7 linked regions of the Macaca fascicularis genome follow. The protein of the gene in region 6 purifies or fractionates together with the protein of the main gene of each other region. This does not show direct contact. Links are inferred from orthologs where the notes say so. Each region holds a gene or a part of one and is shown on either strand. Other genes may lie near its edges.

Region 1 (3,138 bases), on a different chromosome or scaffold from region 6:
ACAAAGGAGCAAGGAAGGGTTTCTTGCCTGGCAGTGGTTGACAGTTTTTCTTTGTCTCATGTAGCTCTTGAAATTGGGGCTGACCTCCCATCTAATCATGTCATTGATCGCTGGCTTGGGGAGCCCATCAAAGCAGCCATTCTCCCCACTAGCATCTTCCTGACCAATAAGAAGGGATTTCCTGTTCTTTCTAAGATGCACCAGAGGCTCATCTTCCGGCTCCTCAAGGTGAGTGGTAGGAGGGTTCTAAAGGTGGTCCAGCTATACATCTTGCCTTATTTACCTGTGTATGATCGTTTTTTCCTGTGAGGCTGACTCTTTTTCTTTGGTTTCTGGGGAGCAATTTCAGTGAAGTTGGGAGTCTTGAGAACAAAAAGATAAATGCCAGTAATAGCCCTAGAAACCTTTCAAAACAAACCAAACCTCATGAGAACTTTGCAGAAGGTTTCATTTAGGAAGTTACAGCAAGGATCCATGAGGCTCTTTGGGTGTTGATGATACTTTTATGGCATAAGAGGGCTTTTCTTTTCTTTTCTTTTTTTTTTTTGAGACAGAGTCTCACTCTGTCACCCATACTGGAGTGCAGCGGTGCAAACTCAGCTCACCAGAACCTCTGCCTCCCAGGCTTAAGCGATTCTCCTGAGTAGCTGGGATTATAGGTGTGCACCACTACTACCCGACTAATTTTTGTATTTTTAGTAGAGACGGGTTTTACCATGTTGGCCAGGCTGGTCTTGAACTCCTGACCTCAAATGATCCACCTGCCTCAGTCTCCCAAAGTATTGGGATTACAGGCGTGGGCCACCACACCCGGCCAAGAGGGCTTTTTACAAGTTTACTGAGGCCTCATGCTGCCTTTGTTGGTATTGGAACAGATACTAGAGAACTGTTGGTCTGGGCCAGGCACAGTGGCTCACGCCTGTAATCCTAGGACTTCGGGAGGCTGAGGCGGATGGATCATCTGAGGTCAGGAGTTTGAGACCAGCCTGGCCAACATGGTGAAACCCCGTCTCTACTAAACATACAAAAATTAGCCAAGCCTGGTGGCACGCACCTGTAGTCCCAGCTACTTGGGAGGCTGAGGCAGAAGAATTGACCCTGGGAGGTGGAGGTTGCAAGTAAGCCAAGATCACGCCATTGCACTCCAGCCTGGGCAACAGAGCGAGACTCCATCTTTAAAAAAAAAAAAAAGGAGAGCTGTTGATCTGGGCCATATTTTACACTGGGCCCCGAATCTTGGTTTGCGGGCTGTATCTGATAGTCTGACTTTTCTTACAGTTGGAGGTGCAGTTCATCATCACAGGCACCAACCACCACTCAGAGAAGGAGTTCTGCTCCTACCTTCAGTACTTGGAATACTTAAGCCAGAACCGTCCTCCACCTAATGCCTATGAACTCTTTGCCAAGGGCTATGAAGACTATCTGCAGTCCCCGCTTCAGGTGGGTCTGGAGTGCACTGAGAGTAGGAAGGTGGGGTGAAAATGTATCTTGAGAATATATGCCTCCAAATGTTACTAAAACTCAGAAAGCAGTGGAAAGTTTTTGATATTTTAGTGCATTGTCCTTTGCCAGAAACTGGCTAACTTTATCCTTTTCCTCATTCATCAGCCACTGATGGACAATCTGGAATCTCAGACATACGAAGTGTTTGAAAAGGACCCTATCAAATACTCTCAGTATCAGCAGGTACTGTGTGGTATGCAGGGTGAGGAAAGCACAGGGCTAGCATGACCTAGGGAGATTGGGATTACAACCATAGGATATTCTCTCCTCCAGGCCATCTATAAATGTCTGCTAGACCGAGTACCAGAAGAGGAGAAGGATACCAATGTCCAGTGAGTGCTTTCCCCTCAATCCCAGGGACTTGCATATCTACATCTGTATATGCCAAGTCTGCTTGACTCTTCCCTTTCTTTGTTAGGGTACTGATGGTGCTGGGAGCAGGACGGGGACCCCTGGTGAACGCTTCCCTGCGGGCAGCCAAGCAGGCTGACCGGCGGATAAAGCTGTATGCTGTGGAGAAAAACCCAAATGCCGTGGTGACGTGAGTAGCAGCCTGCTTGCTAGGAAGTTAGTCCCCATTGCCAAATTTCCTTAACATGTCTCCTCACCTTATTGTCTCTGTTTCAGGCTAGAGAACTGGCAGTTTGAAGAATGGGGAAGCCAAGTGACCGTAGTCTCATCAGACATGAGGGAATGGGTGGCTCCAGAGAAAGCAGACATCATTGTCAGCGAGCTTCTGGGCTCATTTGCTGACAATGAATTGTCGCCTGAGTGCCTGGATGGAGCCCAGCACTTCCTAAAAGGTGCACCCAGGTTGGGGTGTAGGTGGAGGGTGATGATGGATGAGACATCTACCTGGGAGGAGGGTACAGGGTTTAGGGGAAAGTGAGTTGGACCTGGGTCACATCATATGAGTTTGAGAGCTATTGCTCCACTGCCTCTGTGCCCTTAGCAAATGAAGTCGTCTCTTCAAACCTCAGTGTTCATATTTGTAAAATGAAGGGAGTGGGCCAGGTGCTGTGGGAGGCCAAGGTGGGAGGTCAGGAATTCGTGACCAACCTAGGCAACATGGCAAAACCCTGTCTCTACTAAAAATACAAAAATTAGCCAGGCGTGGTGGTGCACGCCTGTAATCCCAGCTACTCGGGAGGCCGAGGCACGAGAATCGTTTGAACCCGGGAGGAGAAGGTTACAGTGAGCCAAGATTGTGCCACTGCACTCCAGCCTGGGCAATAGAGCGAGACTCCGTCTCAAAAAAATAATAATAATGAAATAAAAAATAATGAGGGGAATGGACTCCTTGAGCTGACGTATGTACCCTGAGCTTAGCTTTCATCAGGAACTTTTATGGGACTTTGTGACCCCACAAAAGTTAAGAACTACCAGATTAGACTATCTTGGGTTCTTTCAGTTTTTATCTGTGTGACTCTGTAAATTAACCTAGAAGTGGAATCATCCGTGACAGTAGTTGGAAGGCTGGCTTAATAATGTGACAACATGCATTTGTCTCTTTCTTCCATGCCCATGCCAACGTTGGTTGGTTTTGACATGGGAGGTTTGATCCTTCTGATCCTTCAGTTAGTACAGACACACCATTTCCCTCCCTCTGGAACTAATTTGACTCTCCTGCTGTGC
Region 2 (3,194 bases), on a different chromosome or scaffold from region 6:
ACGTCACCATACACACAGCCTCATGACCACGATAGCTCTACACCTACCCACAGTAGAAAAGAATTCGCTGTATAGCAATCCACTTGCTTTGTGGCTCACTGACTTATAGCCATGCCCAGAATATAGGAGCTAGATCCATCAATCAAAAATCAAATCCACTGGGAAAATAATCATGTTCTCCAAAGCTACACTAAAACTACCTTGGCATCACCCCACCTCCCCACCCTCAATTCATAATTCATCTAGTGTCCATGAGGGCTAAGACTGAGCAGCAAGGGCCTTGTGCATTGTGGAGTCAGCTCTTTCTCTTTCCTCCTCCCCTTTCCCAGAGTCAATATGAAGTCTGACATGCTGCCTTACCAAAGACAAAGACTTCACTTTGCTGAGGATGCCAAGCCAGTGAGGTAGGAAGGTAGCCAGGCGCACTGCAGCCTGCAAAGGAGAGAAGAGGGTCTGGACAAAAACTCAAAAGAGTCCAGAAGAAGCGGTTTCTCAAATGACATCACTCTAAATCCTGGGAGCACCTTTATTTGATTTCCCAAACCCTGCTAAGGCAGCAGTGTCCTCATCCTTGAGCCTCATAACCATTTATCCACCAGCTTCCTGCCCTTTCTGGACATGAGTCACAGGCAAGTTTCAGGCACAAATCATGAAGATAACAATTCTGGCCCCTTTGTCCTCCCGTCTAATAAAGTAAATCAGCCACCCAGGAACTGGCCCTTCCTCTTGGTATGCATTGCAAGAATGGGGTTAGCAGAGTCTCAGTGGAAAAGAAGGAGATTATGTCACTCATGTCACAGTAACTACACTGGGCATCTGGCAACTATGCTTTGACACTGGCCAAAGAAATTCTCTTCTATCAGGGTTCCAAGTACTACTCTCCCACCAATGAATCTCAGACTCACCCATCTGTGATGCTGGCTTGGGACAGCGGGTATCCCAGAGTAAAATTCTGTTGTCCTAGAGGAAGGCGGAACAGAAAAAGGATCTCACAGTCCAAAGCGCTGCAGGCCAGAAAGTCTCCACACTAGAGACTTTGGCCTATGGAGGGCTGGAGTGTGTTTAGGGAAGAAGGAGCTATCTCTTACCTCGCTGCATGAAAGAAACACAGAGTCCTTGTGAGGAGAGGCAGCAACACAAGTGACCTGTGCAGCATGAGCTATAAAGGAGAGAGAAAGAGAAACATGATAGAAAACAAGCTGAAGCATTACAAGAGGGCCAGCCCAGGAGTAATCAAGGTGCAGGAGGGAGGGAGGGCTGGTCTCATGATGCAATTTAACAAATTTTGTGGGAGATTATGGATCAGACAAAAGCTAAGAGGAGAAGTTTATACACTTATAAAACCTAAAAAGCCTTGTAAAAAAAAAATGTATTAGTGAAAACAATGAATGAGAAATTAGGAGCTTATTAAGAATAACAAAGGAATTTCCAGTTAAGGCATCTTAGACGTGAGATCTAAATAATTCTAGAATAGCAGTCTTCATACTGGAGCACACATACCTCCAAGTAGTATACAAAAACTTTCGAGGGAGTTCTGGGCGCTAATAGTATTAAGAGAGCCAATTTCTCTAATGTTCTCTTTCTTAAAATTGAACTGCCTCTATTTTCACAATCACCCTTCTTCCACTTTAAAGAAAGAACACATACCTGTCATTCATCCCAGATCTTTCCATGGTACAATGCTCAGGGGTATAAAAACATAAGGGTTCTAAACTAAGGCACAAAAGCGGCTTTTCCCTAAGAACCGAAGAGCAAAAAGAAAGAGTATCTAGGTAAAATTCAATGAAGGGGGCGCTGATCTTGTTTCAGTCACACCACAAACACAAGTATGGTTCTGTAACTTCACTCTGTTTCTGTCTAATAACGAGAACTAAAACATATGACAGATCGTTGTGATAAGGACATATTCAACAACTTTATCTGAATTTAAAAACAAAGTCAGACTTTTTCTGATGGAAAATTTAGTCTAACTTGGTCCACTGGCTTTACAATGCAGATTGGCTTTTGCCAGTTAGGCTATTTGGTAGACATTTGTACAAACTAAATAGGATTAACCTGCAAACCTAAAATTTGGACAAATATACGCTTGAAATAAGTATATAATAAATTATATGCCAGAAATTACCTTCTCTGCAACTACTTAAAAAATTTCTTTAGGTATCAATTTTAAAATGTATGAGGGGGCACAGATTTTCAAAATTGTTTTAGGAGGTCTACATGTAAAAAACTTTAAAGTCACTGCTACATGTTAATTGGAAACTGTGGAAACCTCTTCCACAGTCATTTTACCAGACTTTCCCAGGTAGTCTGAATGTGGCCCTTCCCTGAGGCAGAAGGATGGAACTAAACCAGCTTCCATAGTTCTTTCCTAGCCCTAGAATTCATAGAAAGTCAACAGAATAAGAAGTAAGAAAAGGAATTTATTGCTCACTTGAAAAAAGCAAAGCTCTGGGACAAGCATCATGGTGGTAAAGAAAAGATGAAGAATACATGGTTCCTCTACCCTCAAAGGTTTTGGGGCAGGATGCAGTGGCTCATGCCTGTAATCTCTCAGCACTTTGGGAGGCCAAAGCGGGAGATCCCTTGAGCCCAGGAATTTGAGACCAGCCTGGGCAACATAGCAAGACTCTGTCTCTACAAAAAATTAAAAAAAAATAAAGGATTTGGAATTCAGCAGGGGGAATAAGACACAAACACAAAGAATAACAGAAAGGCTGCATGGCAGAAATGCTGAAAAAGAGTTAGCATTAACCAGGAAAGCACATATGTCTACGCAATAAAAGGCAAATATAATAGACGTAGGGCATTGACTTTTTTTTTCTCTCCTGAAACAGCTTCACTCTGTTGCCCAGGCTGGAGTGCAGTGACGTGATCTCGATTCACTGCAACCTCCGCCTCCTGGGTTCAAGCGATTCTCGGGCTTCAGCCTCCCAAGTAGTTGGGATTACAGATGTGCACCACTATGCCTGGCTAATTTTTGTACTTTTTAGTAAAGACAGGGTTTCGGCATGTTGGCCAGACTAGTCTCTTAACTCCTAGGCTTCATATGATCTGCCTACCTCAGCCTCCCAAAGTGCTGGGATTTCAGGCGTGAGCCACTGCGCACAGCTGGGCATTCAACATTATTGTAAAACTATTTGCAAGTGACCCTGAAGGTCCAGGATACTGGACCTTGGATATGAGTCTGTGATTTC
Region 3 (4,211 bases), on a different chromosome or scaffold from region 6:
TGGGAAGCAGCTCCTCTTTCGAACGGTGGTGGTCCCTTCCTCACCCTCTGCCCCCGGGTCCCCTTCCACAGTCTGGGGTGGGAGACGCAGCTCCTCGGAAAGGTAGTGTCGGATGTTCTGACGGGCAGAATGGATGAGCCGGGAATCTATATCCAAGCCCACCATGCGGGACGGGCCCCACTTGCAGGCAATGCTCAGGGTCAGATGGCCCACATTGCAGCCCAGATCTAGGACGTCCCGGCCCCGAAACCACTCAGGCTTCAACACCCGAAGGCGCCCATCCTCACAGGAAGGATTGCGGTACCCATAGTATTTGCAGTAATTCCCATACTGGAACTTGCGCTGTTGCTTTTTGAAGCCTGCTGCAGGCAGTGGGTGGTGGTGGTGGTGACGGCCTCCCCAACTCCCTCGGCCCTTTTCCTTGGAACCCTGGCCTCCACCCCTAGCCCCTGCCTCCGACTTGCTGGAAGTCCTGCGACGTTTGCGATGTCGGGAGGAGGAAGATGGGGGTGCAGAGGTAACTGAGGCAGCTGGAGGGGCTGATAGGGAGCCTGAGGGACCCTGTAGAGCAGATGGAAGCGGAGACACCACTTCATCCCTGCAGTTGATGGCTGTGTTGAGTTCATAGGGTTGGGGGGCATCCCGGTTCTGGCCTCTGTGCCGCGGCTGCTGTGAGGCGCCCTCCCCGTGGAGTGAGGGGGTGAGAGGGGCTGTGGGCAGCACGGGGTGGCTCTCACTCCCTCCGGCTGCCTGCTGCTGCTGGTGGTGCTGTCCCCGGTGTCTATGCCGCTTCCGACCAGTCTTGAGTGGCGAAGCAAGAACTACATGGCCCTCATCAGTGCAAGTATTGAGACTGAGCGGGTCAGTAATATCTTTGGGGATGAGGATCTCCACTGGATCTCGCCCTTTGGCCGGAAGGGGGGATGACTTAGGGGTCTCTGCGTTGAGGGCGCGGCTCACTTCCTCATCCAGGAGGCTATTCAGGTTTAGGGGATCAAAGATATTGCCCCCCAGGAGGAAGTTGGAGGGTAACACAGAGTCACAGTCCGAATTCACCCGCCTGCGCCTCTTGAAGGCCGGATGTTTAAAGCCTCCCCCACCTCCCCCTACATTACAGCTATTTCTCCTCTTGCCCCCGCCCCCCCCAGGTGGCCGGTGGGGCTGATAGCCATTGCGGGGTCGAGGAGGAGCAGGGGGACCCAGCTCTGTCCCGCCCCCTCCCCGGCGCTCCTCCCCCACGTCCGGGGGAGCGGCTCGCCCCGGGGTATCCGACAGGCGGGCCTCCCCGTGCGACTGCGCCTGGGGGCCGCCTCCTCGGTGCTGCTGCGCCTGGGGACCACCGGGGGGGGTGGCCGCGGCCCCGGGGCTCTCTCGACCGACCCCAGCGGCCGGGGACCCCGCAGACGGCGCGCAAGGACCCGGACCACGCTCCGTCCCGCCGCAGAGCTCCCCAGAGGCGGCCTCTTGGTGCGGTGGCACAGTGGGGCCGCCCCCTCCGCCCGACTCATCTTTGAGCGGCGGCGGCGGGGCCGGCACCAGAAACGGCTCCTTCTCCGCCGCCATCTCGATCATTTCCTCCCCTTATTCCGTCCCAGTCGGGGTAACGAGGGGGATCAGGGGGCTTAACCCCCCCTGCCTGGACCCTGCTCCCTTCCCCCCCTTTCCCGAGTGCGCGCGCAGCTCTGCTCTTCTCGCCTAGTCTCGCGCCCAAGCGCCTCCCCGCGAAGTGCGCCCCACTCGCCCGCGAGACCAAAACAAGATGCCCGCGACACCCGAACTACTCGAGCACTCAACCGCGCGTGCGCCGACCCCTTTCTCCTCCGCCACTACCACCCCGCCGCGAGCGCGCACGGCAAGCGCGCGTTCCCTTCGCCCCGGAACCACGCATGCGCACTCCGCCACCACCCTGGTTGCGCGCGCATCGGAGTACGAACCAACTTAACGGCTCTGGGAGTTTAAATATAACCCCCCACACAGCCCCCGCAAAAGCCCACCACCCCAAACTGACACCCTACTTCCCTGCGCAGCTAGGTCCGGCCCTACTGATCTCCTTTGTCTCTGCCGCGCGATCCCACCCACCGTAGGCGGGGGACGGGACCTGGTGTGAAAAGGTCTCCTTGACACCCGACCCTTGTTCCTGAGGAATGAGTCTCAGCGGTCTCCACCCGGCTCTAAATCCAACAACCTCCCCACCCCGCCTCCTTCCTCCCCCTAGTGAGCAGCGCCTGCGCACACCCTTTTGGGCTTGCGCGGGTACAGGCAGCACGTGCTGGAGGTGGCGCCCCGCCTCCCGTCTTAGGGGTAGGGCCTGTGACGTCGCTTCCTTAAGTTTGGTAAACGCAGCGTGCGTCAGCGCGATCCGGAGGGGCAGGGCTTCCCGACGAAGGGCGGTGCTCATGAATTATTCATGAGCTGTTGGTAGCACACCTCCCCCCTCTGCCCATCTTCTTAGAAGCGCTTCCGAAGGAGCAGAGAGACCCTACAAAGCCGAGGAAGGGCAGGAGTGGAACTGGGCTCAGTAAAACGCGATAGGTCATTATAACTCACCCCCCTCGAAAATATTCTCTGCTGAATTGGGGAAAAATAAAAAGCACTAAAACAGCCGGTGTTGTCCAACTTCCTCTTCCCCCGAAACGGCTGAGTCGTTCTCTGGTTCCTCTGCCTTCCCCCAATCGCAATCACCTGGAGACGCCACACCACGCCTTCCTCTCCGCCTCCACACCCACGGCCCGGACCCCAACGCCTCCGCCCATTCCCGACGCTCGCTCACTGGCCCGTCAGCTCACGGGCCTCCCCAAACGCCCGCCGCGGCGCCGCGCCGACTTATATACCAGAGAGTGTGGGCGGGGACGGGGGTTCGGTCCGCGCTGGGCCCCGCCCCCCCCGCTTCGGCCAATGAGGAAGAAGCGAATCTACGGCGTTTTCCCGGGGAGATTCGCAGCCCGGTCTTCCTGCCAGCGGAGTGCTGGGCCGAGGAGCGGGTGACAGGGGTGACAGTGGGGTCCCGGAAAGTCTCAAAATCCTAAAGTGAGGGCGTGAAGGAGACCAGCAGGAAGAGGAGGAATCAGGGAACGGAAAGAGGGAGGAAAAGGCAGTCTGAAACAGAGAAAAGTTAGTAAGATGTGCTTCAAGAACAATCAGGCGCTGCGGCCGCCGCCTAAAAATATGTGACACCAAAGAGGATTCTGGGATTTGTAGTTTTCCCGGGACGTTCGGGTGAAAGATGGCGGAATTACCTCAGCCGCGGAAACGCAGACGCTGTTTCCAGTTGCGCATGCGCCTCAGACTCCGCGAGCGCGCCTCCCGGGGGTGGAGCTAGCGCGCAGGACGTCCTCGTGCCTTTTCTTGGTGGCGGGAAACCTGGGTTGAGGTGTGAGAGGCTTGCGGAGTCGCTGCGCCAGCTGGTTTTGCACCTCGCCTTTAGGTCCTCCCTGCTCCTGAAGGTAGCCGGCTAGTTTCTGGTTGTAGGTGAAGGTGCTAGGCGCCGCCAGTCCTGGCACCCGTTGCCTGAGGAGAAACTTTCTCAGGGCGACAACCAGCTCTTGGCCCTTTTTCCTCAGAATCTGTCGTCCCCAAGAAACAGACAAAAACAGCCCAGTCTCCTGACGGGCACTGACAATATGAGTGAGAATGAGGATCACGGTGCCTTGGCGGGAGTGGGAGTGGAGGGGAGATTCCCTCATGGTGGGAGGAAGGAAGGGAAGGAACGGGAAAGAGAGAGGGGGACGCCACCGTTTACGGGGAGAGGCGAGGACGTGTGGCTCAGGGACACCTCCGAACTGAACCCCTATCCCTGAGAGAGAATAAGGGGTGAGGGAAGAGAGAGGAAAATGGGAGCACCCCCCAAATGGGAAGAACTTCTCCCCAAAACTTCTTCCCTTTGGATTGCAAGGTGCATTTGGGATTGGGGCTTTTTAAAAATTATCTTTTATTTTTTATTATTTTTTAAAAGACAGTCTTGCTCTGTCGCCCGGGCTGGAGTGCAGTGGCGCAATCTCCGCTCACTACAACCTCCGCCTCCCGGGTTCAAGCGATTCTCCTGCCTCAGCCTCCTGAGGAGCTGGGGTTACAGGCGCCCACCACCACGCCCAGCTAATTTTGTATTTTTAGTAGAGATGGAGTGTCTCCATGTTGGCCAGGCTGGTCTCGAACTCCTGACCTCAGGTGACCTCTTGGCCTCGCAAAATTCTGGGATTATAGGCACGCCCCAC
Region 4 (4,107 bases), on a different chromosome or scaffold from region 6:
GCCAAATATGGATTTTCAATCTAGATTTTTATACCCCACCAAACTTCTAACTATGAGGGTAAATAAACTCATTTTCAGGCAATCAAAGACTTCCCCCATCCCCGAAAAAAATCATCTATTTCTTCCAAAGCTCCCAGAAGTTCTGCTCTGACAGCAGGAAGAGGAAAAGATGGCCACACTGGGAACAGAGGTCAGCACAGGGCAGCAAGGACAGGAAGGTTTGGGACACCAGCTCCACCCAGGCAGAGCACAATCAGTCCCATTTGGAGGAGGAGGATACGGGAGTCTTGGAGGGCAGTGGGGAGGGGGAGATCAATTCATTTAAACCTGTGCAAAACACAACTGATAGGTGTGAGATGCTGGAGCTTTGTGGGGAAATAAACAAACAGTAGGGAAAAGAAAGGCTAATGGTAAAAACAAAGTTAATTAGCTTTAAGGGAAAATAGAATGCTACAACAAAAGCCCAGTTGAACACATTACTTGTTTTAGCAGCCAACTAAATATATATACATATACATGTGTGTATGTGTGTGTGTGTGTGTATATATATACATATATACACATATATATACATATATATACATATATACACATATATACATATATATACATATATACATATATACATATATATATATATATTTTTTTTTTTTGAGACGGAGTCTCGCTCTGTCGCCCAGGCTGGAGTGCAGTGGTGCGATCTCGGCTCACTGCAAGCTCCGCCTCCCGGGTTCACGCCATTCTCCTGCCTCAGCCTCCCGAGTAGCTGGGACTACAGGCGCCCAAAACCGCGCCCGGCTAATTTTTTGTATTTTTAGTAGAGACGGGGTTTCACCGTGGTCTCGATCTCCTGACCTTGTGATCCGCCCGCCTCGGCCTCCCAAAGTGCTGGGATTACAGGCGTGAGCCACCGCGCCCGGCCATATACATATATTTTTTTGAGATGGAATCTCGCTGTGTCTCCCAAGCTGGAGTGCAGTGGCGTGATCTCAGCTCACTGCAAGCTCCGCCTCCTGGGTTCACGCCATTCTCCTGCCTCAGCCTCCCGAGTAGCTGGGACTACAGGTGCCCGCCACCACACCTGGCTGAATTTTTGTATTTTTAGTAGAGACGGGGTTTCACCATGTTAGCCAGGGTGGTCTCAATCTCCTGACCTCGTGATCCACCTGCCTTGGCCTCCCAAAGTGCTGGGATTATAGGCGTGAGCCACTGCGCCCGGCCCTGAGCAGCCAACAACATTTTGCATCTTATTTAAAAAATACAACCAATGACCAACTGTGCTCACGACAGAAACTCATTCAGGATATGGAAGGCGAAGGTGCAGTGGGTGGATAGGAGGGAGAAAATCTCAACAGCCGTGACAGGAAATCAGCAGATGATGTCTACAAATTGATAAATCCAGGAAGAAGTATGTTATTTACTAAAGTAAAGATCAGGGAACAGAGTGGAAAAACCCCATCTCTACAAAAAAATAGAAAAAAGAGCCGGGTGTAGTGGCTAATGCCTGTAATCCTACCACTTTGGGAGGCTGTGGGGGGGTGGGGGGGGGAAGGATCACCTGAGGTCAAGAGTTCGAGACCAGCCTGGGCAACATGGCCAAACTCCGTCTCTACAAAAAATACAAAAATTAGCCGGGCATGGTGGTGAGCACCTGTGGTCCCAGCGACTTGGGAGGTTGAGGCAGGAGGACGGCTTGAGCATGGGAGTTCGAGGCTGCAGTAAGCTGTGATGGCACCACTGCACTCACTCCATCCTGGGTGACAGAGCAAGACACTGTCTCAAAACAAACAGAGAGACAAAAAACCGACGACGACCAGGGGAAATGAACTTAAGAATTGAGGAAAGGTGGCCTCCGAGACCTGGGGCTGGACCAGCGGGAAGGAATTAGTTTTTGGTGGCAACACCGTTCTCTCGTTAAACCCAGCAAACAACCTCTTTTCCAAAGCTCCCCCTGGCTGTTTGGTGTTCTCCAAGGATACACACGAACAACGGTCACAGCCATGTGCACCTGCAAAATGGGGCCAGCTAACGTTTTCTGGTCCCCTTTGGCATGGTGTTGAAGCTGTCACTCCCGTTTTAAGGGGAATGACGCTTACAGGAGTTACATCACAGAGCCCCAGTGAACTCACAGGTATAGATTAGCATGCAGAAGCGTTCTCGGCTACAAGGAAGGAGGCCCAAACCATTTCAGCCGCGATCCCGATCTGATCCCAACGAGTCTTAGTTGTTTCTTTTTCATTTTGTGAAACAGGGTCTTGCTCTGTTGCCCAGGCTGGAGTGCAATTGCGATCATGGCTCACTGCAGCCTCGACATTCCGGGATCAAGCGATCCTCTCGAGTAGCTGGGGCTACAGGTACAACCACCACTCCTGGCTAATTTTTAAAATTTTTTTGTAGAGATGGGGTCTCGCTGTGTTGTCCAGCCTGGTCTCGAACTCCTGGCCTCAAGCGATCCTCCCGCCAAGCCCTCCCTGAGCGGTGAGATTACAGGCGTGAGCCCCCGCGCGCGGCCTCCCAACAGGAGTTTGGAAATAGAGTTCCGAGGGGGCCCGACCCTCCGGGCCCGCCCAACGCGGGACCTACAGGATGCACAAGGCCGGACGCTCACGGGAGGAGGGAGGGGAGCGACGCCGCCGCCCGCCCCTCGGCCTGCGGCCTGTCGCAAGCTCCTCTCTCCTACGTCCGCTCTTCCCCAGGGAACCCCCGGTCCGAGTCGGCCGCCACCCTCAACCGGCTCCACTCCTCACCAGAGCCTGAGGGCGCGTTATCTCCTCGATCCGCCACCGCCACGACTTCGTTCGGCGCACGCGCGTCGCGGTCAAAGAAAGCACTTCCGGGGCAAATGGGGCGGGCCCTCTGGTGTGCGCATGCCCGGCCCGCCCAGCGGCGCAAGTCAGAGGGTCAGGAGGCGCGAGGGAAAGGGCTGGAGGGGGCGGGGCTGAACGCCCGGCCTGGAAGGCAAACCGCGCGTGCGCACAACGCCCCCAACGAACCCTTGGTTCGCTGCGGCCGCGCTGGGCTAACTTTCGCGAGGGGCGGCTGACATTCTTCGGGAGACGTTATCGCTCCCTCCGCCTGCGCCTGGCCGCTCTAGGAAGGGGTGCCAGCCATCGCGGGGGTGCCTTGATGCTGTTCCACCTTTGTCTGGTTTATTTCAATTTAATGGTTATGTAACGACTGTCCGTCTCCGCTACCAACTCGTGCACCGCCCCCCCGCCCCCCGCCCCAGGTCGCCAGCGCCACGCACTGGAGACTGGCGGCATGGCCGGCCCAAAGTGCGCAGGCGCACTAGCCCCGGCGGTGCTTCCGTGTCTGCGCCCTGAGACCTTTTTGGCGCCGGCCCCGGCGTGAACGGGGACGGCGGCCGGGAGGGCGCGGTCCAGGTTCCCGTTCCCCGCGAAGCCATGCGGTACAACGAGAAGGAGCTGCAGGCGCTGTCCCGGCAGCCGGCCGAGATGGCGGCCGAGCTGGGCATGAGGGGCCCCAAGAAGGGCAGCGGTGAGCGGGACCCGGGAGACCGGGACAGTGCCAGGGGCGGAAGGCTGGGGCCGCAGTCCGGGCGCGGGTGCCGGAGGCCGGATTCCGGGTCGGGGCGCCGGGTGCGGGAGGCCGGGGTCCGGGCGGGGGCTGCCTGCGCCCCTGAGCGCGCGCTGTGCCCGCAGTGCTGAAGCGGCGGCTGGTGAAGCTGGTGGTGAATTTCCTCTTCTACTTCCGGACAGACGAGGCCGAGGTAGGGGCGTCGAGGGCGCGCGGGCGGGTCCCAGGCTGGGGCCCCGCGGAGGCCGGGTGCTCACTGCTCCGTCCCGGCGCCCGTGTCTCCTCCAGCCCGTCGGAGCCCTGCTGCTGGAGCGGTGCAGAGTCATCCGGGAAGAGCCCGGCGCCTTCTCTATCAGTGAGTGGGGCTAGGGAAGCCAGCGGCGCCTCCCGCAGCCCGGGGCACCAGCAGCGCTGCAACTGTCCCCTCCCCAGGCGCTCAAGGCCTCCTCTATGTCCCCAGCCTGGCGCCACCCTCCCCAGACATAAGAATGCATTGTCCACGGGCAGCTCAAGGTCAGGTTCTCCTGGCGGGCACCATCCCGCCCACCTGCCAAGTCCACTTAAGCTTGG
Region 5 (3,500 bases), on a different chromosome or scaffold from region 6:
GGGTTGGTGGGGTGGAGCCGCTCTGTGGCGGGACTCACCCCTGTCCCCATGCGCCCCACAGATACACATGGTCTACAGTAAGCGGTCAGGAAAGCCCCGCGGCTATGCCTTCATTGAGTACGAACACGAGCGAGACATGCACTGTGAGTACCTCCCGCCGAGCCTTGCCCTCTGACCCGCTCTCACTTCTCTGCTGCCCCAGCCCCTCCCAGTCTGTCCCCTCCCCCACCCTGCCACACCTGACATTAGCGGTGTCTCTCTTCCTCCTCCCTCTGTTTCTGATGTATCTTTTTTTTTTTTATATACGTGATTTTTAAAAAAAACCAAATCCCCCACAACGTGTGTGTGTGTGTGAACCTGGGGAGGTAAGTGTCACACGTTGAACCTCAGGGGCAAAGAGGGAACTGGGTGAGGGGCTGGGGCCAGTTGGAGGTGGGGGAAGGGGTCGGATTTTGGGGGAGCCTCTCCCCATTATTCCCCCCACTGAAGTTGGGGGTGGCCAGGTTGCAATGAGGACTGGCCTTTGAACCTGTCCTCTCTTCCCCCCCAGTAGAACTGGGGCTGGGCCACCCGACCCTCTGCCTCCCCAACCCTGGCCCCCCACCCTGTTCCTCAGTGGGCAGTGGGGTGATAGGCATGTTGAGCGCCTGCCCCTACAGTTCCAAAGCCCCCTTTGAGGCTGCCGCGGCGTCCACATGGGCAGGGATGGGTGGGGGAGGGTGGGCAGGGCTGCGGCGTGTCCAGGGGCCGCCGTATTAATTGATTGTTCTTATTGTCACTGCAGCCACCACGCAGCTGGCTTGCAGCTGATGCTTACGCTCCCCTTACAACACCTCAGTGTATGGTTGGTATAAGGGTTTGTATCATGGGTAAGATCACTCAGCACCGCACACCAGCCCAGCTTAGCCAGGCAGCTCAGGAGCAGCGAGGCGCCCCTCCTCCCGCCCCAGTCGCCCCCGCAGCCTCCCCGCACCCATGGCCCTTTCCTTGTTTGGGTGCCCTTTGTCCCTCCTGCCCCGATCCGTATGCTCTCCGAGAATCTTGCTGATCCCAGGAGGGGAAGGATGAACCCGGTAGGAAAGGCGGTGGCCTCTCCGCTTGGGTTCCACCCAGCCTCTGATGACCCGGCTTCGCGATGTCAGTGGCGAGGTGGCGGGAACACCGAGGGCAGGGCACCAGGCCAGGGCTCCACTGGAACCCTTCAGCCTTCCCTCCCTGCCCCCGTGCTTTCTGTGGGGCTGCTACTGTGCTGGCCCTGGAGAGTCTTTTTGGCTGCTAGTTTTGGGGTGCTCTGCGCCCTTCCTGTCTTCCTTACTGTGGTTGAGGCCTCCTGAGGGGGCTGGCTGTGGTGTCCAGCCGCTCTCCAGAGGTGGTCAGGAGCTCCCCAAAGTGCATGGAATTGGGGCTTGGGGTGTGGGAGGGACCAAGGGGTAGGCTGCCAGCAGCTGAAGGTGTCAGTAGGTTTTTACTAAAGAACCTTCCACTGTCTAGAGACTTGAGAGAGGGAAAGAGAGAGAGAGGCCTAGACGAACACAATCACATGTTTTCTTTGCTGTTCCTCCCGGGATGGGCCTCTTTTGGGGTTTGGGACTCTGAACCCGAGCGGGGTTCCTTCGCTTGACTTTGATCCTGGTCCTTAAATGCCTTTCCCCACTCCCCTCCTGTGGGTTCAGGGGCCAAGTGGCCCCTCCTCAGAGCACGGGCAGCACCGTCTCCTGGACCCCTGTGTGCCAGCCTCTGCAGACGCAGCTGGTGGGAGGGAGCATGGAGTTGGAGGTGGAGAAGTCGCGGGGGGTGGGCTATGTGCCTAGTTCAGTGTGACTTGGGGACTGGTGAGGTTGGACAGGTTTTTGAGGCCTCCCCAGCCTTCTTTGTAAATTCACACGAGATAGTCCAGGGCTTTCCAGAGCCCAGCTTGGATGATAATCCTCGTCTCCCCGACTCTAAGGCCTCCTTGAGATTTCTTTGGGGTCCACCACATCCTCTGCCTGTCTCCAGGTGGTACAGGAGATGTGGTTCCTCTCCCTCTCCTGGCTCCCTAGAACCCCCAACTTCCCCTCCCTGTAGCTTTAGCTGACCCCATGGTGGTGGGTGTGGGGTCTGTGCGCGTGCTCAGGTAAGCTTGGGGGCTCCAGGTAAGCGGTCCCGTGTCCCCCCCCGGGAAGCCCGCCTCCTCGCCAGGCCCCCAGGAGTTGCCGAGCCCCCCCCATCCCGCTCGGTTTGGACACCCGCAAGGCCGGCATCGGTAAATGGCACCTTTTTCTCTTCCTCTGGTTGTTATTTGGGGGGGAGCGGGCTGGGGCGGGGCAGGGTATTACGGTTGGTTGAGGACAGCCCCCTAGGCCAGGGCTGGGTGGGGGAACAGGGACTTTTTGGCCTTCCCGATAGCCCCACGTGATCACAGGCCAGGGCCTCAGGCTTGCCTTCTGCTGTGCACTACCCGAGAGCAGCAGTGAGCCTCTCCCCCATCTCCCCTCCACGACTCCCCTTTCCTGGCAGGCTCAGGCTGGGGTGCGCTCCCAGCATGTGTTGAGCCGGGGGTGTGGAGGGCGAGATGGGGCGGGGCTGGGGGGGAGGCAGAGTCAGTCATCTCAGGTAAGGCAGGGATTTTCAGTAGCACCGCACGGCTCCCCATGCTTCCTCCACTGCCCCTCTCCCCTGCTGCAGGGGCCCTACCAGGCCCCCTGGGAGTGTATAACCCGCCTCTCTGCTCCCTGCCATTTCCTGAAGATTTCTCCCACCCCCTTCTGGTTCATTTTCTGTTCTGATGTCTGTTCCCCCCACACTCACCCCCCTCCAAAAAAAAACAAAAACAGAAAAACCGGTGTGGTCTGGGGTGCGGAGCGTCCCAGCTGGGCCTCCTGCCCTGGCTTGGTGTCTCAGGGTGCATGCTTGGGGTTGTGGAGGAGCCCCCTCCCCCACAGCAGAGTCCAGCGTGGAGTTAACCTTCAGTTTCTTTGCAGCGATTTTGGCCGCCCTGGCGGGAGGGGGCTGTTCCATCATGTGGGAGAGGAAGGACGGGGGAGCCCAGGGGGTGGTGGGTGAGGGTGAACATCTCCCTCGACCAGGAGTGGTTGGGGCGCCGAGAGGAAGCAGAGGCTGAGATGGAGCAGGCCCTTCGCCGGTTTGGGAGAGGGTTGGTCTGGCTGTCAGTTGCCTGGCTGTCTGTTGGGCGTGTGCGTGTGGGTGATGATGGGGACACGGGGCGGGGATTCTGTAGACCCGGGCCTGTCCTGACTAGAGGACCCTCTGGGGACTCCTCCCCTCCCCCTCCCCACATCTGTTACAGCCGCTTACAAACACGCAGACGGCAAGAAGATTGATGGCAGGAGGGTCCTTGTGGACGTGGAGAGGGGCCGAACTGTGAAGGGCTGGAGGCCCCGGCGGCTAGGTGAGCACGTCCCGCCCTCAACGGGCTCTCGGGGACCCTGGACCTGGTGGCCTTGTTCTCCCTTCTTTGCTGCTTTCTGCTTCTCTGTCTCCTGCCGGCTCACGTCTCC
Region 6 (3,500 bases):
GAGTTCGAGACCAGCCTGACCAACATGGTGAAATCCCATCTCTACTAAAAATACAAAAATAAATAAATAAAATAAATTAAAAATAATTAGCTGGGCATGGCAGTGCACACCTGTAATCTCAGCTACTTCAAAGGCGGAGGCAGGAGAACTGCTTGAACCTGGGAGGCAGAAGCTGCAGTGAGCTGAGATCACGCCACCACACTCCAGCCTGGGTGATAAAGCAAGACTCTGTCTCAAAAAAATAAAATAAAAAAAGGTCCTCCTAGAAATTTATTATAGGAGATTCATCAACCCTTTCACTTAAGACAGTATTCCAGATGCAGCAAGACAGAGAAGGCCAGGCAAAGCCTCATGGCCCCACAGGATCTCTCCATGCTGCAAGGGGAAGGGGTGGCAGTGGATGTGGAGAGAGCAGAGGTCAAGCCCTCTCTGTTCCCAGGCAGTAAGAGGGCCCCTTTCTACAAGACACAAGACAAACCTGTATTTTAAAACCTGTGCATGAAGAGCACCTACCTTGGGCCTTGAGAATAGCAGCTTTTCCTCGGCCAGCCCCTGAGCCTTGGTTTTTATTTTTCATGCTCTTTAACATTGGTGCATTCTTCAGCATGTCAGGCAAAATCAGAAAGCGGATTTTGCTGCCACGGATGTATACCTGCTCCAGCTGTGCCACTCGGCCATCTCTGTATGTGACTGTGATGTTGGACATCTAGAAGGAAATCAGTGGCTAATCAATTAACAGTCAACAGCACCAGTGGTGGGGAGGGCCTTGACTGGTGGGAGGCGGAAGTCCAGAAAAGCAGACTGACATTGTGAGAAAGCTGGTGAATTACACAGCAATCATCAGTACTAACTATGTACACTAGGGACTGCACTGAGCACTTTACCTAAACAGTTCTCACAACACCTCCAGCGTGGGTATGAGCGCTCCCATTTTTTTTGAGATGGAGTTTCGCTCTTGTTGCCCAGGTTGGAGTGCAATGACGCGGTCTCGGCTCACTACAACCTCTGCCTCCCAGGTTCAAGCGATTCTCTTGCTTCAGCCTCCCGAGTAGCTGGGATTACAGGCATGCGTCACCATGTCCGGCTAATTTTGTATTTTTAGTAGAGGCGGGTTTCAACAGGTTGGTCAGGCTCGTCTCGAACTCCTGACCTCAGGTGATCTGCCCGCCTCGGCCTCCCAAAGTGTTAGGATTACAGGCGTGAGCCACTGTGCCCAGCCGAGTGCTCCCATTTTTACAGGTTAAAAAAACCAAAGCAGTTATCCAAGGTCAAACAGCAGAAATGCAGGGAACTCCAGATTCGAACCAGTTGGCCTAGCTTCAGAGCCCTGGCTGTGCAGCAAAGATGTGAAGAGCTCTTGAAGGTGCTAAACTCTAACTAAAACAGCTTCAAACTGCTGGTCCAAACTGTCTTCCCCTGCATTGCCTGGCACTCAGATTTCAAAGGCATCATGAAGGTCACGAGTATATACCAGATGTGGTTCTGACCCTCCAGAGTGCATACTCTAGAATGTGAGACAGAACCCTATAGCTTGGGTGACTAGGGACTGAGAAATGGAGGTGGTACCACAGGGCCTACACAAAGGGCCTGAAATTACTGGAGGGGTATGAGGCAACAGCTTGCACAAGGAAAAGAGCAGGCACTGGACAGGGTCATTACTTCAGATAAGAGTCAAGTTTGTCAATAGAGGAAAGATCAATAGGGTTAAGGCAGCACTTAGGAAAGATAAATGTGTCAACAAGGATAGACGGTAGGATGGACAAATGAGGAGCCTGAAGGTGAGACCAGCTTGGCATGGGAGGGTGATACCAATCTGCCAGCATCAACCTCAACAAGTACCACGTTTACAGAAAAAGCAGCTCACTGTATAAACCTTCTAAAGGGAGAGGACTATAATTTATTCAGAATGGGTCAGCCCATGTTGTAGAGAGATGGGCTGTCTCCCAGATTTCTGTCTAGCTAGATGCCATCTTATACTCATTCATTCTTTTCCTCAAGTGCTAACAGGCCACCCAGCCTCTGCTTGAACACTCAGCGAGAAAAGAACAACTATGGGCCGGGTGTGGTGGCTCATGTCTGTAATATCAACACTTTGGGAGGTCAAGGTGGGAGGATCACTTGAGCCCAGGAGTTTTGAGACCAGCCTGGGCAACACAGTGAGACCTCATCTGTACAAAAATTAGCTGGGTGTGGTGGCACGTGCCTGTAGTCCAGCTACTCGGGAAGCTGAGGTGAAAGGATCACTTGGTTCTGGGAGGTTGAGGCTGCAGGGAACTGTGATGGAGCCACTGCACCCCAGCCTGGGCCACAGAGCAAGATTCTCTCAAAAAGCAAACAAACATAACTATGCTCTGGGGCCACCCCTGTGGTATATGAGCAGTTTCTAGAGGAATGGTTTCTAGAGCTTCCACCCACTATCCCTGTTCTACCTTCAGAGGCACCAGGGCTCCAGTTTCCCATAAATCTTCTGCTCTAGGCTCCTCACTCCCAGCCTGTTATCAAATTTTCATCCAGTTCCCAAGTCCTTACCAATCCTTTTCTTCCCCTGAAGAATACCATAACCTCTAGTGCCACAAATGAACACCAGGTATGGTTAGACTACCCAAGAGAGAAACTGGATACAACTCAGGCTCACCTGAATCTGCTGACAATTGAAATGTGTTTTGGGGCTGGGTGCGGGGGTTCATGCCTATAATCCCAGCACTTTGGGAGGCCAAGGTGGGTGGATCACCTGAGGTCAGGAGTTTGAGACCAGTCTGGCAAACATGGTGAAACCCCATCTCTACTAAAAATACAAAAATTAGCTCGGTATGGTGGCAAACACCTACTTGGGAGGCTGAGGCAGGAGAAAATCACTTGAACCCAGGAGGTACAGGTTGCAGTGAGCTAAGATCACACCACTGTATTCCAGCCTGGGCAACAGAGTGAGACTCCGTCTCAAAAAAAAAAAAAAAAAACAGGTGTTTTGGAGACTGTGCCACACTCATGACTCTGTAAAATAGACCTAAAGACCTATAGGTGAGATCCAGCTCTGCCATTTGTCAGAAGTGTAACCCCAGATACATCTCCAGGCTTCTCTGAGCCTCCGTTCCCTCACCTACAAAGCTGAGGAAAATACAAGACGACAAAGCCAACATTTACTGAACACTTATTAGACATCAAGTGCTGGCCCAGGTGATTTCCCCACAGCAGCTCATGTCACCCCACAAAATCCTACAAGGTAAAGAGATGAAGTGACATAGCCATTCAGAGGCAGATCTGTCCCCAGAAATCCATGCCCTTTCCCCCTATTCTCCTGCTTGAGGTCACACCATGCTTACATGGCCTGGCTGGAGTTTGAACCCAGTTCTGTCTAACTCACACTCTTAACCACTGCATCTGATCACACCTCCTGAAATTGTTAAAAAGTAAACTAGGCCAGGCGCAATGGTTCATGCCTGTAATCCCAGCACTTTCGGAGGCCAAGGTGGGAGGACTGCTTGAGGTCAGGAGTTTGAGAC
Region 7 (4,090 bases), on a different chromosome or scaffold from region 6:
GGTGATGTACCAAAAAATCTAATTCAAAGGATTAGTGGCAAAACAAGCTGATACACAGGATTTTTGATTAACCCATTTTTCCCCTTACAAAACAGAGAAGAATATGTGTTCCCTATTTGTTTGCCAAAGTCAGCAGTATCTGAAGAACTGCTGGATGGCAAGATTATGCATATTCATAACCATACACCTGACACAATTTAATATGCGGAAAGATCTAAAAGATTTTATCTGATTTGAGTAAGTCCAGCTCTTTTTATATTTCAATCCTGGAAAGCATAAGCCACATTGGCCAGGGTAAAATATAATCAGATTGGTTAAAGAGGATGTGAGGCCTGATCCTAATAGAAATGTTTGAAAGGGTTCAGGCATTGTGGCTCATGCCAGCAATCCCAGCACTTTGGGAGGCCGAGGTGGGAGGATCACTTGTGGTCAAGAGTTTGAGACCAGCCTGGCCAACATGGCGAAACCCTGTCTCTAAAACTACAAAAATCAGTCAGGTGTGGTGGCGCATGCCTGTGATCCCAGTACTCTGGAGGCTGAAGCAGGAGAATAGCTTGAACCTAAAAGGTGGAGGTTGCTGTGAGCTGAGATTGCACCACTGCACTTCAGCCTGGGCAACAGAGCAAGACTCTATCTCAAAAAAAAAAAATAAATAAAATAAATGTTTGGAAAGAATATGACAGCAAAATAAATAAATAGTTACCAGTTTATCTCAATCTTGGAGCTAAGTAGAAGAGAAAATCTTAACACAATAGACTACTCTAAGTAATATAACATTTATACTGAGTGCTATGGCAGCACTGCCCCTAAAAGCATTAATTCTGCTTCAGTTTATCAAAAATGGCTTAACAAGAGAAAACAGTGATGGACCATGAATAATTAGAGTTCCACCAAGAAAATGTCATTAGGAAGGAAGCAAGAAGCTATGTCAGTATTATGTGTATTTCTACTAAACATTTATTATCCCCTGACTTATAACCCATAGGGATGGGCACAGACAGTGTTCAAGTATTGAATGTTCTGCTATTTTCTTATGGCATCACTTAATTCACATTGATAGAATAATCTCAAAAATAACAAGTTTGGACAATGAATAGCAATAGACCAAAGCTTTTAGCTGGGTTTCTAAAAAATTCAGGAAAACTGATCAAAACTTTGATTTTCCTGTTTGAGAGCATCTTATGCTACCAATAAATATCAAAGCTATACTATCAATATCCCCAAATGAATAACCTCCTGAATGAACAAAAACAGCACATCTTTATATTTTCTACTTATTTTGCAAAAGGTTATATTTGAGATAGTCTAAAGAAAAATAATAAGGCCTAAGAACACTAAGAGAGCATTTAAATCCTAAATACCTAAAATAATACTGGTATTAAAGCCATTGCCAATTCATTAGCATGTCTGATAAACAGCAGAAAGCTGGACTTCAGGTCCTCCGAGTGACCCAAAAATTCAAAGCCATTCATATTCTGGTCCTAAACCAACCTTTACAGATTCATTTATTTCTTCTCTCCTTGCACCCACTGTTCCTGCCACAGTGGACTACTACTCAAACACACCTTTCACGATTCAATACCTTGTTACAAGATGTTCTCAGGCTCAGATGTCCTTCCCGATTTAAAACTGATCCTTTTAAAACAGGGACATGTAACCTCTTCAGTGAAATAACCCTAAGCATAATAATTCCGTTATCCAGGTTCCCAGAACATGTTGTTTGTTCTTCTACTTAAGCATGCATTTGGCCTCATGAGAGAATGAGGACATACACATCTGTTTCCCCTACCTGACTGTAAAATTTTGGATGGCCTCAGTCTGTTACCTTTCACAGACTAATGCTGAGCCAAATACCCAGAAAGAACATATGAAACAAAAGTGAATTAGAAGTCTCGTTCTCAGTGAAAATCTCGGATTCCAAGTCAGAAATCAAAGAATGCAGTTCCAACTTCCCATGCCTCGTCTTTTCTGAAAAGTGATCCCGTTTCCTGTCATCTCTGGATATTTCCTAATGAACTCCAGTCTATTCCCAACGTTTTCCTAATTTGCACACTCTGCATTCCATAAAACGATCAACTAGTTTGAAAGCTTCGGCCGTTAATGAAAGTAATTTATCTTTTCCTTTTCCATCTGGCTCTTCCAATAACCAGTCTCCAAAGAAAAAGATCAATATTATACTAAAAGTGACTAAGGGAGGGAAAACTACTACCAGATTTTATCCCCAAATCGTTTCGTGCAAGAAAAATAAGCAAGTAACACTGACGCTTGAACACACACGGGGGCAGGAGTAATGGAATCTCGGTTTAACTAAATTCGATTCAGTCCTGCCGGAAAAGCGGATGCCGTATTTCAGTGCTTTTCTGACCCTCTTCTGCATAAACTATGCGGACGACACTGTCGACAGGCGAGTGAGACTTTCTCCCCACGCCCGCTTCCCAGATCCCTTGCCCACGAATCCTGCTGAGGAAGCCGCTTAAACAAGGCCCTCTGGTCGGAGAAGAGAAGCTACTCTGAAGTAGCAGGTCCCAAACACCGAACAAAGCGCCTGTCGGGGGTGTAAGAGGAGGACGCCATTACGCGGGGCAGTGGCCTGCGCCGCTGGCGCGGAGGAGACGACCCTTGGCCCCGAAACGCGGGCTCGGCTCCCATGAAAGAAACCATAGGAAAAGGCAGAATCCTAGGAAGAAAGGCTCTTAGTAAGCTAGCAACCAAGAAAACACGTAAGCAGGGAAAGACCGCTTACCTTCGTGAGTCTTGGCGATCTTCGCCATTTTGTCCACTCGAACACACTGACGGAACTGGCGCTCCCAAGAACTTCCGCTCGTCGCCGCCGCCACGGAGAAAAAAATAGCTGGGGGCTGCACTCTGCGCGTGCGCCAAACAGAAGCGCGCTCCGTCGGGTGACACGTGACACAGCTGCCACCTAGAGGGAACCGCGAGGTGCATTGTGGGTGGGGGAGGAGTCACGGTTGGGACCTGAAGCCGCCTGCGTGGTGACCCAGGAAATCCTCGGGCTAAGCCGTAAGGTCCTTAAGTGAGTAACTTTGCCTTGGAGGAAAGTGGGTTCTACGAGGGGAGTTAAGAACAGACACTGAGTCCCAGCTACTCTAGAGGCTGAGGTGGGAGCATCGCTTGAGCCCAGGAGTTCAAGGCTGCCGTGAGCCGTAATCGTGTCGCGCCACTATACTCCAACCTCCAGCCCGGGCGAAAGAGCAAGACCCCGAGACCCCTCCCATAAAAAAAAATGAACACTGTACGAAACACTGCGGTTTCAGAGCTGGAAGAGACCTCAGACGTTCAATCCCTTTCCCACAATTCACCAGAAGAACTCGAGGAAAACTTCACCTTGCAGCTGTCTCAGTCTTTACAGTGCTTAGTTACAAAGACAGTCTTAACAGTCTCATCTCTCGCCCTGTAATTCAAGGTCATTTTTCATTATTTCTGTTTAATAATTGCAAATAATTTGGGTAAGAATTTCGTTGAGCCTCACAAATCGTTATTGAGTTGCACAGTGAGAATCTTACCACCCTTTTAAAGCCTTTTAACTTTATGGGTTCTTAGAAAACCACTCATCGTCATTATTAACATTCATTAAATGTTTCTCTTAAATCGTAGACGGTATTCCTAAATCAGGAATTTTAATAGATCAGAATGCATTCTGTTTTCCTAGACATCAATTAAAATATCATAACCTTGTACCGTCACACTGATCTTGGACTTCGACAATGAAAAAGAAAGGCTCAGAAAGATGGGTCCCGGAAGCAGCCCAGGAAAACAGGTAGTTATCAAGGTTAGAGCCATCACAAAGAAAGGAGTACCTCGCCATGTGATAAACCTACAACCCAAATACTAACCATACCATGGGTCATTATGGTCGTTTGAAGGGAGGAAAATGGTATGGGTGTATTCCTCTTGCAGAAAGACCCCATGTCTACTTTGGGTACAGTGAGGAGCCATTTTCCTGAGGCTAGGGGTAGGTGGGAGATATATGGACAATGGCGCTGGACTGAGAGCTTAAGATAACCTGTCCCTGGTGACTCCTGACCTGCAGCCTTGCTCCCTCTTTCCCTCTCACAGACTCCCTTCTTTG

The links.
Region 1: the proteins of SNRPD3 (region 6) and PRMT5 purify together in Homo sapiens (affinity purification with mass spectrometry; 3 studies listed by BioGRID and IntAct, with this or other methods). This does not show direct contact. The link is inferred for Macaca fascicularis from reciprocal best matches to the Homo sapiens genes SNRPD3 and PRMT5.
Region 2: the proteins of SNRPD3 (region 6) and WDR77 purify together in Homo sapiens (affinity purification with mass spectrometry; 3 studies listed by BioGRID and IntAct, with this or other methods). This does not show direct contact. The link is inferred for Macaca fascicularis from reciprocal best matches to the Homo sapiens genes SNRPD3 and WDR77.
Region 3: the proteins of SNRPD3 (region 6) and MEPCE purify together in Homo sapiens (affinity purification with mass spectrometry; 3 studies listed by BioGRID and IntAct, with this or other methods). This does not show direct contact. The link is inferred for Macaca fascicularis from reciprocal best matches to the Homo sapiens genes SNRPD3 and MEPCE.
Region 4: the proteins of SNRPD3 (region 6) and SF3A2 purify together in Homo sapiens (affinity purification with mass spectrometry; 4 studies listed by BioGRID and IntAct, with this or other methods). This does not show direct contact. The link is inferred for Macaca fascicularis from reciprocal best matches to the Homo sapiens genes SNRPD3 and SF3A2.
Region 5: the proteins of SNRPD3 (region 6) and SNRNP70 purify together in Homo sapiens (affinity purification with mass spectrometry; 6 studies listed by BioGRID and IntAct, counting the BioPlex papers as one, with this or other methods). This does not show direct contact. The link is inferred for Macaca fascicularis from reciprocal best matches to the Homo sapiens genes SNRPD3 and SNRNP70.
Region 7: the proteins of SNRPD3 (region 6) and SF3B1 fractionate together in Homo sapiens (co-fractionation; 4 studies listed by BioGRID and IntAct, with this or other methods). This does not show direct contact. The link is inferred for Macaca fascicularis from reciprocal best matches to the Homo sapiens genes SNRPD3 and SF3B1.

Annotation. Positions count from the first base shown.
Region 1 is NC_088381.1:90,670,537-90,673,674, reverse strand, and holds part of PRMT5 (protein arginine N-methyltransferase 5), read left to right. Parts: intron 1-64; coding exon 65-228; intron 229-1,278; coding exon 1,279-1,440; intron 1,441-1,608; coding exon 1,609-1,686; intron 1,687-1,776; coding exon 1,777-1,835; intron 1,836-1,921; coding exon 1,922-2,044; intron 2,045-2,130; coding exon 2,131-2,306; intron 2,307-3,138. UniProt on the Homo sapiens protein: Arginine methyltransferase that can both catalyze the formation of omega-N monomethylarginine (MMA) and symmetrical dimethylarginine (sDMA), with a preference for the formation of MMA.
Region 2 is NC_088375.1:122,924,367-122,927,560, reverse strand, and holds part of WDR77 (methylosome protein WDR77), read right to left. Parts: intron 1,160-3,194; coding exon 1,089-1,159; intron 961-1,088; coding exon 906-960; intron 433-905; coding exon 361-432; intron 1-360. UniProt on the Homo sapiens protein: Non-catalytic component of the methylosome complex, composed of PRMT5, WDR77 and CLNS1A, which modifies specific arginines to dimethylarginines in several spliceosomal Sm proteins and histones.
Region 3 is NC_088377.1:49,007,475-49,011,685, reverse strand, and holds the start of MEPCE (7SK snRNA methylphosphate capping enzyme), read right to left. Parts: upstream 2,801-4,211; 5' UTR 1,573-2,800; coding exon 1-1,572. UniProt on the Homo sapiens protein: S-adenosyl-L-methionine-dependent methyltransferase that adds a methylphosphate cap at the 5'-end of 7SK snRNA (7SK RNA), leading to stabilize it.
Region 4 is NC_088393.1:2,893,022-2,897,128, reverse strand, and holds the start of SF3A2 (splicing factor 3A subunit 2), read right to left. Parts: upstream 2,801-4,107; 5' UTR 2,130-2,800; intron 1-2,129. Other genes in the region: PLEKHJ1 (pleckstrin homology domain-containing family J member 1), read left to right, coding at 3,405-3,498, 3,663-3,730, 3,826-3,892. UniProt on the Homo sapiens protein: Component of the 17S U2 SnRNP complex of the spliceosome, a large ribonucleoprotein complex that removes introns from transcribed pre-mRNAs.
Region 5 is NC_088393.1:57,079,741-57,083,240, forward strand, and holds part of SNRNP70 (U1 small nuclear ribonucleoprotein 70 kDa), read left to right. Parts: intron 1-61; coding exon 62-143; intron 144-1,411; exon of another isoform or gene 1,412-2,245; intron 2,246-3,289; coding exon 3,290-3,391; intron 3,392-3,500. UniProt on the Homo sapiens protein: Component of the spliceosomal U1 snRNP, which is essential for recognition of the pre-mRNA 5' splice-site and the subsequent assembly of the spliceosome. SNRNP70 binds to the loop I region of U1-snRNA.
Region 6 is NC_088384.1:28,869,029-28,872,528, forward strand, and holds part of SNRPD3 (small nuclear ribonucleoprotein Sm D3), read right to left. Parts: intron 707-3,500; coding exon 514-706; intron 1-513. UniProt on the Homo sapiens protein: Plays a role in pre-mRNA splicing as a core component of the spliceosomal U1, U2, U4 and U5 small nuclear ribonucleoproteins (snRNPs), the building blocks of the spliceosome.
Region 7 is NC_088386.1:93,049,546-93,053,635, forward strand, and holds the start of SF3B1 (splicing factor 3B subunit 1), read right to left. Parts: upstream 2,801-4,090; 5' UTR 2,772-2,800; coding exon 2,744-2,771; intron 1-2,743. UniProt on the Homo sapiens protein: Component of the 17S U2 SnRNP complex of the spliceosome, a large ribonucleoprotein complex that removes introns from transcribed pre-mRNAs.